Linked DNA regions of Coturnix japonica. The protein of the gene in region 1 purifies or fractionates together with the protein of each later gene. This does not show direct contact. Links are inferred from orthologs where the notes say so. Each region holds a gene or a part of one and is shown on either strand. Other genes may lie near its edges.

Region 1 (4,419 bases):
GAAACATTTCACGGTGTAACAGAGCAGCCTCCCAGACTGCAGGGTCAAAGCTAACGTTAAGGTTAATGGCAGTTCCCTATTTATAAAAGGAAGCTCAGAAGCCTTCAGCAGCCCTTCAGATCTTGGAATTAATTATCCCCCACCCCGACAAAAACTAGCTCTGTTCAAATGTAACATCCCTTATTTCATCTGGGATGGGATCCTGTCTTTTACCCAGGGTTCAAGTGGAATTCATGCCATCGTGATATCAGACTTACCTATAAGTCTATCTGAAGCCAAACCATGCTGTTAATTCTCCTGGACTTTGCAAGGCATCCTTGGGTTGACTTCATGTCATGCTCTATGTTTCTTGTTTATCTGACAGCCCTACATGACAGAACACCCAACAGCTCACGTCTATTGCTGGATCTTTTATGTAAATATTTGCCTAGAAACGTAAAGCTCCCATACTTAACTCTGTGGCTTAAACATGCAAGATTTATACCTAAGAACAAGCAAGGCAACAGAGTTGTCATGGTTAATGAAAGGCAAACTATTACTTCTCTTCTGTATGTCTACAACAAGCAGTTGTCCTAATGGAACAGACCATGTCCCACAGAGCCCCAAACCACATCAGTCTCATGAAGCTGCAGGTGAAGGAGCACAGTAGTAAACCCTAATGGGCAGGAGGCAACTTTCTGCTCACCTCCTTCTATACAAGCACCAAATCATCCTGGGTCACACCAGCAATGGCATTAATAATGGCTATGTGCAATGTGTGCTGTCAGGCTCAATGGATCATCTACCCCTGGACCATCCAATGTACTGAATTGACAGCGTTCCTCCTACCCACACACACTGCCCAGTGCTTGTTTGAGTCCGGACTCGGAGAAGAAAACATAAGGAGACAAGCTCCGAGGCTGACTGTGCCGTATTAGACACCCCATGTGAACCACCAACCTCCTGCAGGCTGCTCCCTTCCAGCACCATACAGACACAGCACTGTTTATCCAGCCTTGAAGCCAGGCTGCTGCTACACACACAGCATCTAAACAACTCATGTAACCTTTTTTAATCTTGGGAAAAGCAAAAGGCGTTGTTACGGATGCTGAGTGTGCGACCGCAGACACACCACTCACAGCACAAACCCTTCAGCAGCACAGCGGCACCTTCCTACAGCAGTTTATTTCCCAGCCACTCGTTATCCTTCCCATCGATCTACGCTTTTAAGTCAGATCGATGCCGAGCCGCACCGCTCCATTCGTGCCCCACGACGCTGAATCTGGTGGGGCTGTAGAGCAGCTCCCGGCTTGGATGGCGCCGGGAAGTTCTTTCCTTCAGTGTTGCCGTACGATCACAGAATCACAGAATGACCCGGGTTGGAAGGGACCTCAAGGATCATGTAGTTCCAACCCCCCTGCCTGGCAGGGCCACCAAACATACACCTTTACTAGATCAGGTTGCCCAGGGCCCCGTCCAACCTGGTCTTGAACACCTCCCAGGACGGGGCATCCACAACCTCCCTGGGCAGCCTGTTCCATGGCCTAACCACTCTCCTAGTGAAGAACTTCCCCCTAACATCCAACCTAAATCTTCCCTCTTTTAACTTAAAACCATTTCCCCGTGTCCTGCTATTGTCAGCCCTTTCCAAGAGTTTACTCCCCTCCTGGGTGTAAGTTCCCTTCAGGTATTGAAAGGCTGCAATGAGGTCACCCCGCAACCTTCTCTTCTCCAGGCTGAACAAACCCAACTCCCTCAGCCTGTCCTCATAGGGGAGGTGCTCCAGCCCCCTGATCATCTTCCTGTCCCTCCTCTGGACCCTTTCCAAAATCTCCCATGTCTTTTTTGTACTGAGGGCTCCACACCTGGACACAGTACAACAGATGGAGCCTCACAAGAGCCGAGTAGAGAGGGACGATCACCTCCCTATCCCTGCTGACCACCCCTCTCCTGATGGAGCCCAGGATCCCATTTGCTTTCCGGGCTGCCAGAGCGCACTGCTGGCTCATGTTGAGTCTCTCGTCCATCAGGACCCCCAGGTCCTTCTCTGCCGAGCTGCTCTCAAGGACAACTCCTCCCAGCCTGTACAGGTGCCTGGGGTTCTTCCTGCCCAACTGCAAAACAGTGTTGAACCTCATTAGGTTCAACATAACCCCCGAGCCCAGCTTTCCAGCCTGTCGAGGTCCCTCTGAATGTCACCCGTTCCCTCCACCGTATCGACCGCACCACTCAGTCACTCCCGATCCCGGCACCGCAGCGCTCCGTACGTTCATCCTACACGTCTACAGACAGAGGAAACGGGCACAAAGCTCCGTACACCCCGCTGTTCCCCCCCCCCGTCCCGGTGCCGTCCCCTGTCCAATTAAGGGCACAGTCTCACGTTGGCTCCCGGGCCCGCAGCGCTCTGCGGCGCCGCCATGGCGCCTCCCGGCCGCACTGCGCGGGGCCCGGCCCAGCCCTGCACCTGCCACCCACCCACCCACCCGTTCCCATTTCGTCTCCCCCCCCTTAACACTCACCTACGCTCCTGTAGCCCAGGATCGCGATCTTACGGGATTTGGACGGCGGCATCTTGTCCCCCGCCCGGCCACGAACCACATCAAGGGAGGAGGCGGACGAAGAAGAGGCGGAGGGCGGCGGGAGGCTGCGTGTGCGCCGTCAGCCTCATGCGGCGCTGGTTGTTGTTATGGGGGGGGGGGGGGGGGGGGGGGGGGGTTGGAGGGCGGCGGCGATCGATGGGCCGAGAGCGCGGAACCCGCGGCGGCAGCGCCCGTCCCCTCACGTAGCGGTGCGTCACGCGTCACAGGCCGCAGCGCAGCACGGACCGACCGACCGCCCCCACCGCCAACACCGCGCCGACTGCCGGCTGCACAAACCCGCTGCGTCATGCCGGCCCACCTCACGCCCCGCCGGGCGCTGATTGGGCAGTTGCTCGCGGTTAGAGGGCGGGGATTGGATGAGATCGGTTTTCAAAGAAAGGAGGCGGGGCTAAGGGGATGCGTGGGAGGGGATTGGTTGGATGGGGGTTAAAAGCCGCGCGTGCGCCGTGGTGCGCCTCCAGACGGCGGTTGGGTTGTGGGGTGTGAGGGGCTGAGCGGGGCGGGATCACCTCAGTGTGACTGTCCTCCACAGGAAGGAGTTAGTCCTAACCTCAACATGAACCTCTACTAGTGCCATGGGACCATCTTATAGGCTTCATGGAGATCACCCAGCTGCAATGCCCTGCCATGGTTCACAAATGGTACCTCAGCCCCCAGATCAGGCCGCCCAGAGACCCCATCCCACCTGCCCTATAACCCTGTGGGTTACGGGATCTCCTGCCCTACAACCCTGTGGGTTACGGGATCTCCTGCCCTATAACCCTGTGGATTACGGGATCTCCTGCCCTATAACCCTGTGAGTTACAGGATCTCCATGGCTAAGTAACCTGTATCATAGCACTTCTACTTGGGATAAGTCTTAGTGCTTTCCTGCCGTGCTGAGGTTGTGGCTTCCCAGCAGCAGCATTAGCAATAGGGCTTCCCCTTTGCCCCTCCCCAGTGCTAATCCAGCATCTTCATTCCTAGAGTGTTTTACCCTGTGAGCTACAAAGGAGTTCAGAGAACGCTGCAATGAGTGACTGACACCAGTACAACCAATCGTTGGTGAGTTATAATCGTTTTATTATAAACGACATCCCAACAGATGCGGTCAACGAATGCAATGGTCTGGGTTCCAAAACAAAGAGTGCCGGCACAAATAGAGCGTGTATATACACTGAGATCAGGAACAGATGTTGAGGCTGAGAAATGGGAAAGCATCGGCCTTTTGTTGCCTGTGTCTGCGATGAATTTCCTCTAGGAAACGTAACCCAGCAGTTCAATGTTTTTATGGCAATTCAGTGCATACGAACCCATGGACACAGCGCTACTCAAGTTCCAAATGCAAAACACATCTGGCTTGTACATTCAGTTCCTATAAAAGCAATTAGCACTTTAATTACCTGCTCGATCCTCTGGCCAACCAGCACCTACTGGAGGAGCTATTTGAACTGCACCCAATGTTAGCACTGGGTGTGCTCCCATATGTATGGCTGCCCACTGAGGTTAGAAAGTACACTCAGTTCCATCCCACACTTGTCCCTGGCCCCTCATGGATTCGACAAAGATCATCTTTCTCTAATGTCTGCTTAGAAATACTGACAAAAGCATCGTCTGCAGAACATTCTTGTTTTGCATAACGCACGTGATGTGGATCCAAGGGTACTATGAAGCTATTCAGAATGATATTTTCTCCTGTAGGTTACCCTTAGCAAACATTAAATGTGGGAGGTGTGAAGGTTCTGAAGCAAACTGGCTGCTCCTGAGAGCTGGGCACGGACAGCCCCTGTTGTTCAGCAGGATTAAGCACGCATGGTTTCACCTCTGCTTGGACCGAAACCGAATGACTCCAGCTTACCCT
Region 2 (3,812 bases), on another chromosome or scaffold:
CTGAGCAGAAGGAAACAGTATTTGACATGTGGACCTTGAGGACGTGGCTCAGCTCTCCCCCGAGGAGCCCTGCCCTGACCTTCATGTCAGCAGCCAACATGAGGACCATGCCACGTACCCACAAAGGACAGTCTGGCCAATCCATAGCCATTTCATTCCCATAGGTGCAGCTTAGGAACACTGAATTACAAAGGTGGGGAGGGAAGAGGTGGTGAAGTTCAGACCCATAGATAGGTATTATTTGCTGGGCGTGTGGAAATAGCCAAAAGGAAAGGTGGAGAACCAGCATTTCTCACTGTTCTCTGTTCAGAGGACGAAACTCCAAAATAGAGATTTATGAATCTCAGAGCATACAGTGGGACATGCAGTTCTCTCTTGAATTAAATTGATAAATGTTGGAACAAGACAGCAAAAATTAATCCTCACAATGCTGGTCGGTGACAACCTGTCAGGGTATTGATGTTCCAGTTAAGCAGACACGAGCGTTAGGACGTCTAAGTGCATCCCATCAAGAACAATCCAAAACATCAAAAACTGTTTAATGTTCTATTGTTGTACAGTGGTGCATCAGAAAATAACACTCCAGAATGTGAAGAATTCCTTTGAACCCATTTGTCATCCTTCCTTACGGTTTCCAAAAGCAACAAGATCTGTTTGTGAGCTCTCATGTTCTCTCACAGCCCTCTTACTTCCCTCTCCTCTTCCTCCTCTTGGACCACTGCACACTCCATGTTTCCTGCAACAGATTGCTATTTCACTGAGGTTGTGTAATGTGAAATGTTTCAATCAGAACAGGAACCAACAGAAGTGTGTTAACAGACAAATCCTTTAACGACCTGAAAAAGACTTCACCGTCACCACTCTCCTTCCTTACCTCCATCACTGCATTCTCTTTAATTTAAAAACAACAACAAAAATAAGAATCAGTGAAAAGTCTATTAAGTAACACACTCTGGTTCAGCACAGTGCAGAGCTTGGCAGAACAGCTCCACCAAACCACTGCAGAGCTGCCCTGTCCCTACCTTCCGAACCATGGGGCTCCCATCATTGATGAGCTGGGCCAGCATCATGGCCACGTTGTGGTCGATGGTGGTGGAGTGGTCGGTCCGTTCAGCTGAGTTGCCCACGAATGTTCCCAGTGCAAAGACGGCAGCACAGCGAACCTGGGAGAGGGAAACATTCCTCATTATCTTCCCCTTCGCTCTGGCCTCAAGTTTGCCATTGGGAGCTCTTATCCCCACAAATGGTGCCTCTGGAAACCCAGGCTACTGTGTCAAGTAAATAGCGAGGGCTGAATGGAAGCCCACAGAGACTAAGAACCAAACCAGGTTCATCAAAGTGCTGAGTTATAAGTATTCACAGATGAAGGAGTGCATTTAATTTCCCAGAATACTCAGTGACCTTCCCATGGGTGATTTTTCCAGTTGATACTGCCTAGAATATTAATTAATAGGAATAAGGCATAGAGGGAGTTACGGTTGGCATGTGAATCTCTTTAACAAGAGCACTGAACTCCAGTCTTCAGTTAAAGGCATGCAGAAAGGTAACAGAAGTTGGGAAAAAGAAAGAGACAGCAGCTGAAATCAGGGTAAATTTTGCCAGATCACACAAAGAACGGAGGGATCAGATGGCTGGGTAACCTTACAGTCTGCCTTGGCAGAGAGTGAAAACAGTGGGGATACAGCATAATCAGCAAGTGCAGGATGTGCTTCACAGAGCAGAAATGGTCACCCTGGCTCCTCAAACAGAGGTGCAGATGTGTCATAAAGACAGGTCGACCCGACCGCTGCACAAATACGGATTACAGAACGTGGGAAAGATTAGGCAAGAGAAAGGAGGTAGGAGATACAGGAGAGAAAGACTGGTGTAAAAGGGGAGCTAATCTTTAATGACTGCAAGTCAGCAGTGGCGTTTATCTCCAGGCTTACTTCCACACACCACGTAATCCCAGCAGGGTCTGACTGGCTCTGTCAATCACAGCCATGCTCTGCACAAGAATCTCTGCTCTCTTGAAGATTTGGTCATGAGAGTAAAATGCATTCAGTTAAAGATGTACTTTCACATGTGCCAGGAGAAGAACAGTTTCCATACTCGGATAGAAAGATGAGAGGGTTTTTTGAAACACAGTGAATTTTGGGACCGCTTTTGTTAAAAAGCCTCTGATACGCAGGCAAGTGAAAAAGGGGGTGCCTCCTTGTGCCAGTCCTAAGATTCTGTGACTTGGGCTGTATGAACAGCCCCTCAGTTGCTTCTCTCACAGGGCTTGTGTGATTTGAACCATCTCGAAGGAAGAGCAATAAGATACAGCCATAAAGCCCTTGAAGACACTGTTTTTGTAAGTATTTCTGCAGCCTGCTTACACAATTCTGACAGTCCGGCTGGTGTTTGTTTAAACAGTTGGATTCTTACCTCTGGGATTGGATCAGAGAGGAGGCTGTAGAGCTTTTCATGAGCGCTGTCTCTCACACCGCACCACCTGGCTGAGTCAAAGTTCTGCCAAATACGCCCCAAACAAATGGCCACCCACTGACGCAGGAGAGGATGTGGATCGTTCAACTGTTCCAGGCAAATAGCAATCAGGTTTCCTTGAAGGCAGGCTTCCTAAAACACAAATCAATGCCATTTATTTTGGTTGACAGCTTCCCACCTCATCATCAAAAAAGAAAAAAACAGACCAGAAACCAGGTTATATACTGATCCTGTTGCAAAACACCATTTGGAAGCAGCACAAGGGCAAAGTATACTGCATGCTATAGTAGCAAGTTGAATAGGTCAGCATTAGAAATACTTCCTGTAACGCATAAAATCTGTTTTTCTCCTCATTAGAGATACTCCTTTGCACCTGTCAGAGCCTTAAGGTTTATGGCTCCTTCCATACATCCTTCTCAAGAACTGTATCACAGCCATCAAATTCTCACTTGACAGAACTAGGCACTATTTCTCTATCAGCAGCACGTCAGTGCAGTGCCTGGAGGGCAGCTGGTGTGTCCTTAACCTCCTCTTCCAGTTGGCACATCCGGATCGTGTGCTTGTTACACCTCCAGGCCAATTCTTCTTTTACTCCACCAAAACAAGAACCAAAACCTATCGTGAAGCTATCTTCTATTTCGATTCTCCAGTTCAGGGTTGTGCACTAATGCGAGCCAAGGCACGTTCATCAAAGTAAAGGCACAATGCAGAGAAGAGAGAGACAACAGAAGGAGAGAGGATGCTGGGACTCACCTGTCCTGTGTTGTAGTTGTTAACAATTACAGCCAGAATAAAAGCAGTCATCGTCCTGTGTTCAGCCTTAAAACAACACACAACTAATTGTTATCTACAAAACGGGTCATAGAACAACAACCTTCCATGTTTTCTGAAACACGAGCTTATCCTGAATATGGTTTCTATCGCATCAAAAGAGCAAGAGGGGAGAGAAAGCCAGGATTTTCCTGTCATCTTGTCATACTCCTCAGACACTCCATAATCTTGTATCATCAGACTGCCAATACGATCCTCCCAACCAACCCCTGGGTATTGTTCTGGAGGAGGCATACAAATACTCATTACAGGAAACCACATAATAAAAAAAAAAACTTTTGCAGAGAGAATTATGAAACTTACAGCAAAATGAGCCTGCCTCTGCACCCAGCCCCCAGAAGCCCACAGCTCCTATCTTTCTGAGTAATTCATGCTTAAATATCTTTAGGCAACTTTGCAGCTCCCTGTTTGGAGGCTGCCTGCATCACGCAGCCCAGCAGCAGCACCAGCTCCCCAGGCAGTGGCTGCAGTGGGTCCCAGAGCTGGAGGTGGGAGCAGCCCTCATTAGCAGA

What was found.
Region 2: the proteins of RHEB (region 1) and RPTOR purify together in Homo sapiens (affinity purification with western blotting, with the first as the bait; 3 studies listed by BioGRID). This does not show direct contact. The link is inferred for Coturnix japonica from reciprocal best matches to the Homo sapiens genes RHEB and RPTOR.

What each region holds. Positions count from the first base shown.
Region 1 is NC_029517.1:5,599,736-5,604,154, forward strand, and holds the start of RHEB (GTP-binding protein Rheb), read right to left. Parts: upstream 2,841-4,419; 5' UTR 2,551-2,840; coding exon 2,499-2,550; intron 1-2,498. UniProt on the Homo sapiens protein: Small GTPase that acts as an allosteric activator of the canonical mTORC1 complex, an evolutionarily conserved central nutrient sensor that stimulates anabolic reactions and macromolecule biosynthesis to promote cellular biomass generation and growth.
Region 2 is NC_029533.1:4,972,518-4,976,329, reverse strand, and holds part of RPTOR (regulatory-associated protein of mTOR), read right to left. Parts: intron 3,289-3,812; coding exon 3,223-3,288; intron 2,602-3,222; coding exon 2,410-2,601; intron 1,164-2,409; coding exon 1,023-1,163; intron 1-1,022. UniProt on the Homo sapiens protein: Component of the mechanistic target of rapamycin complex 1 (mTORC1), an evolutionarily conserved central nutrient sensor that stimulates anabolic reactions and macromolecule biosynthesis to promote cellular biomass generation and growth.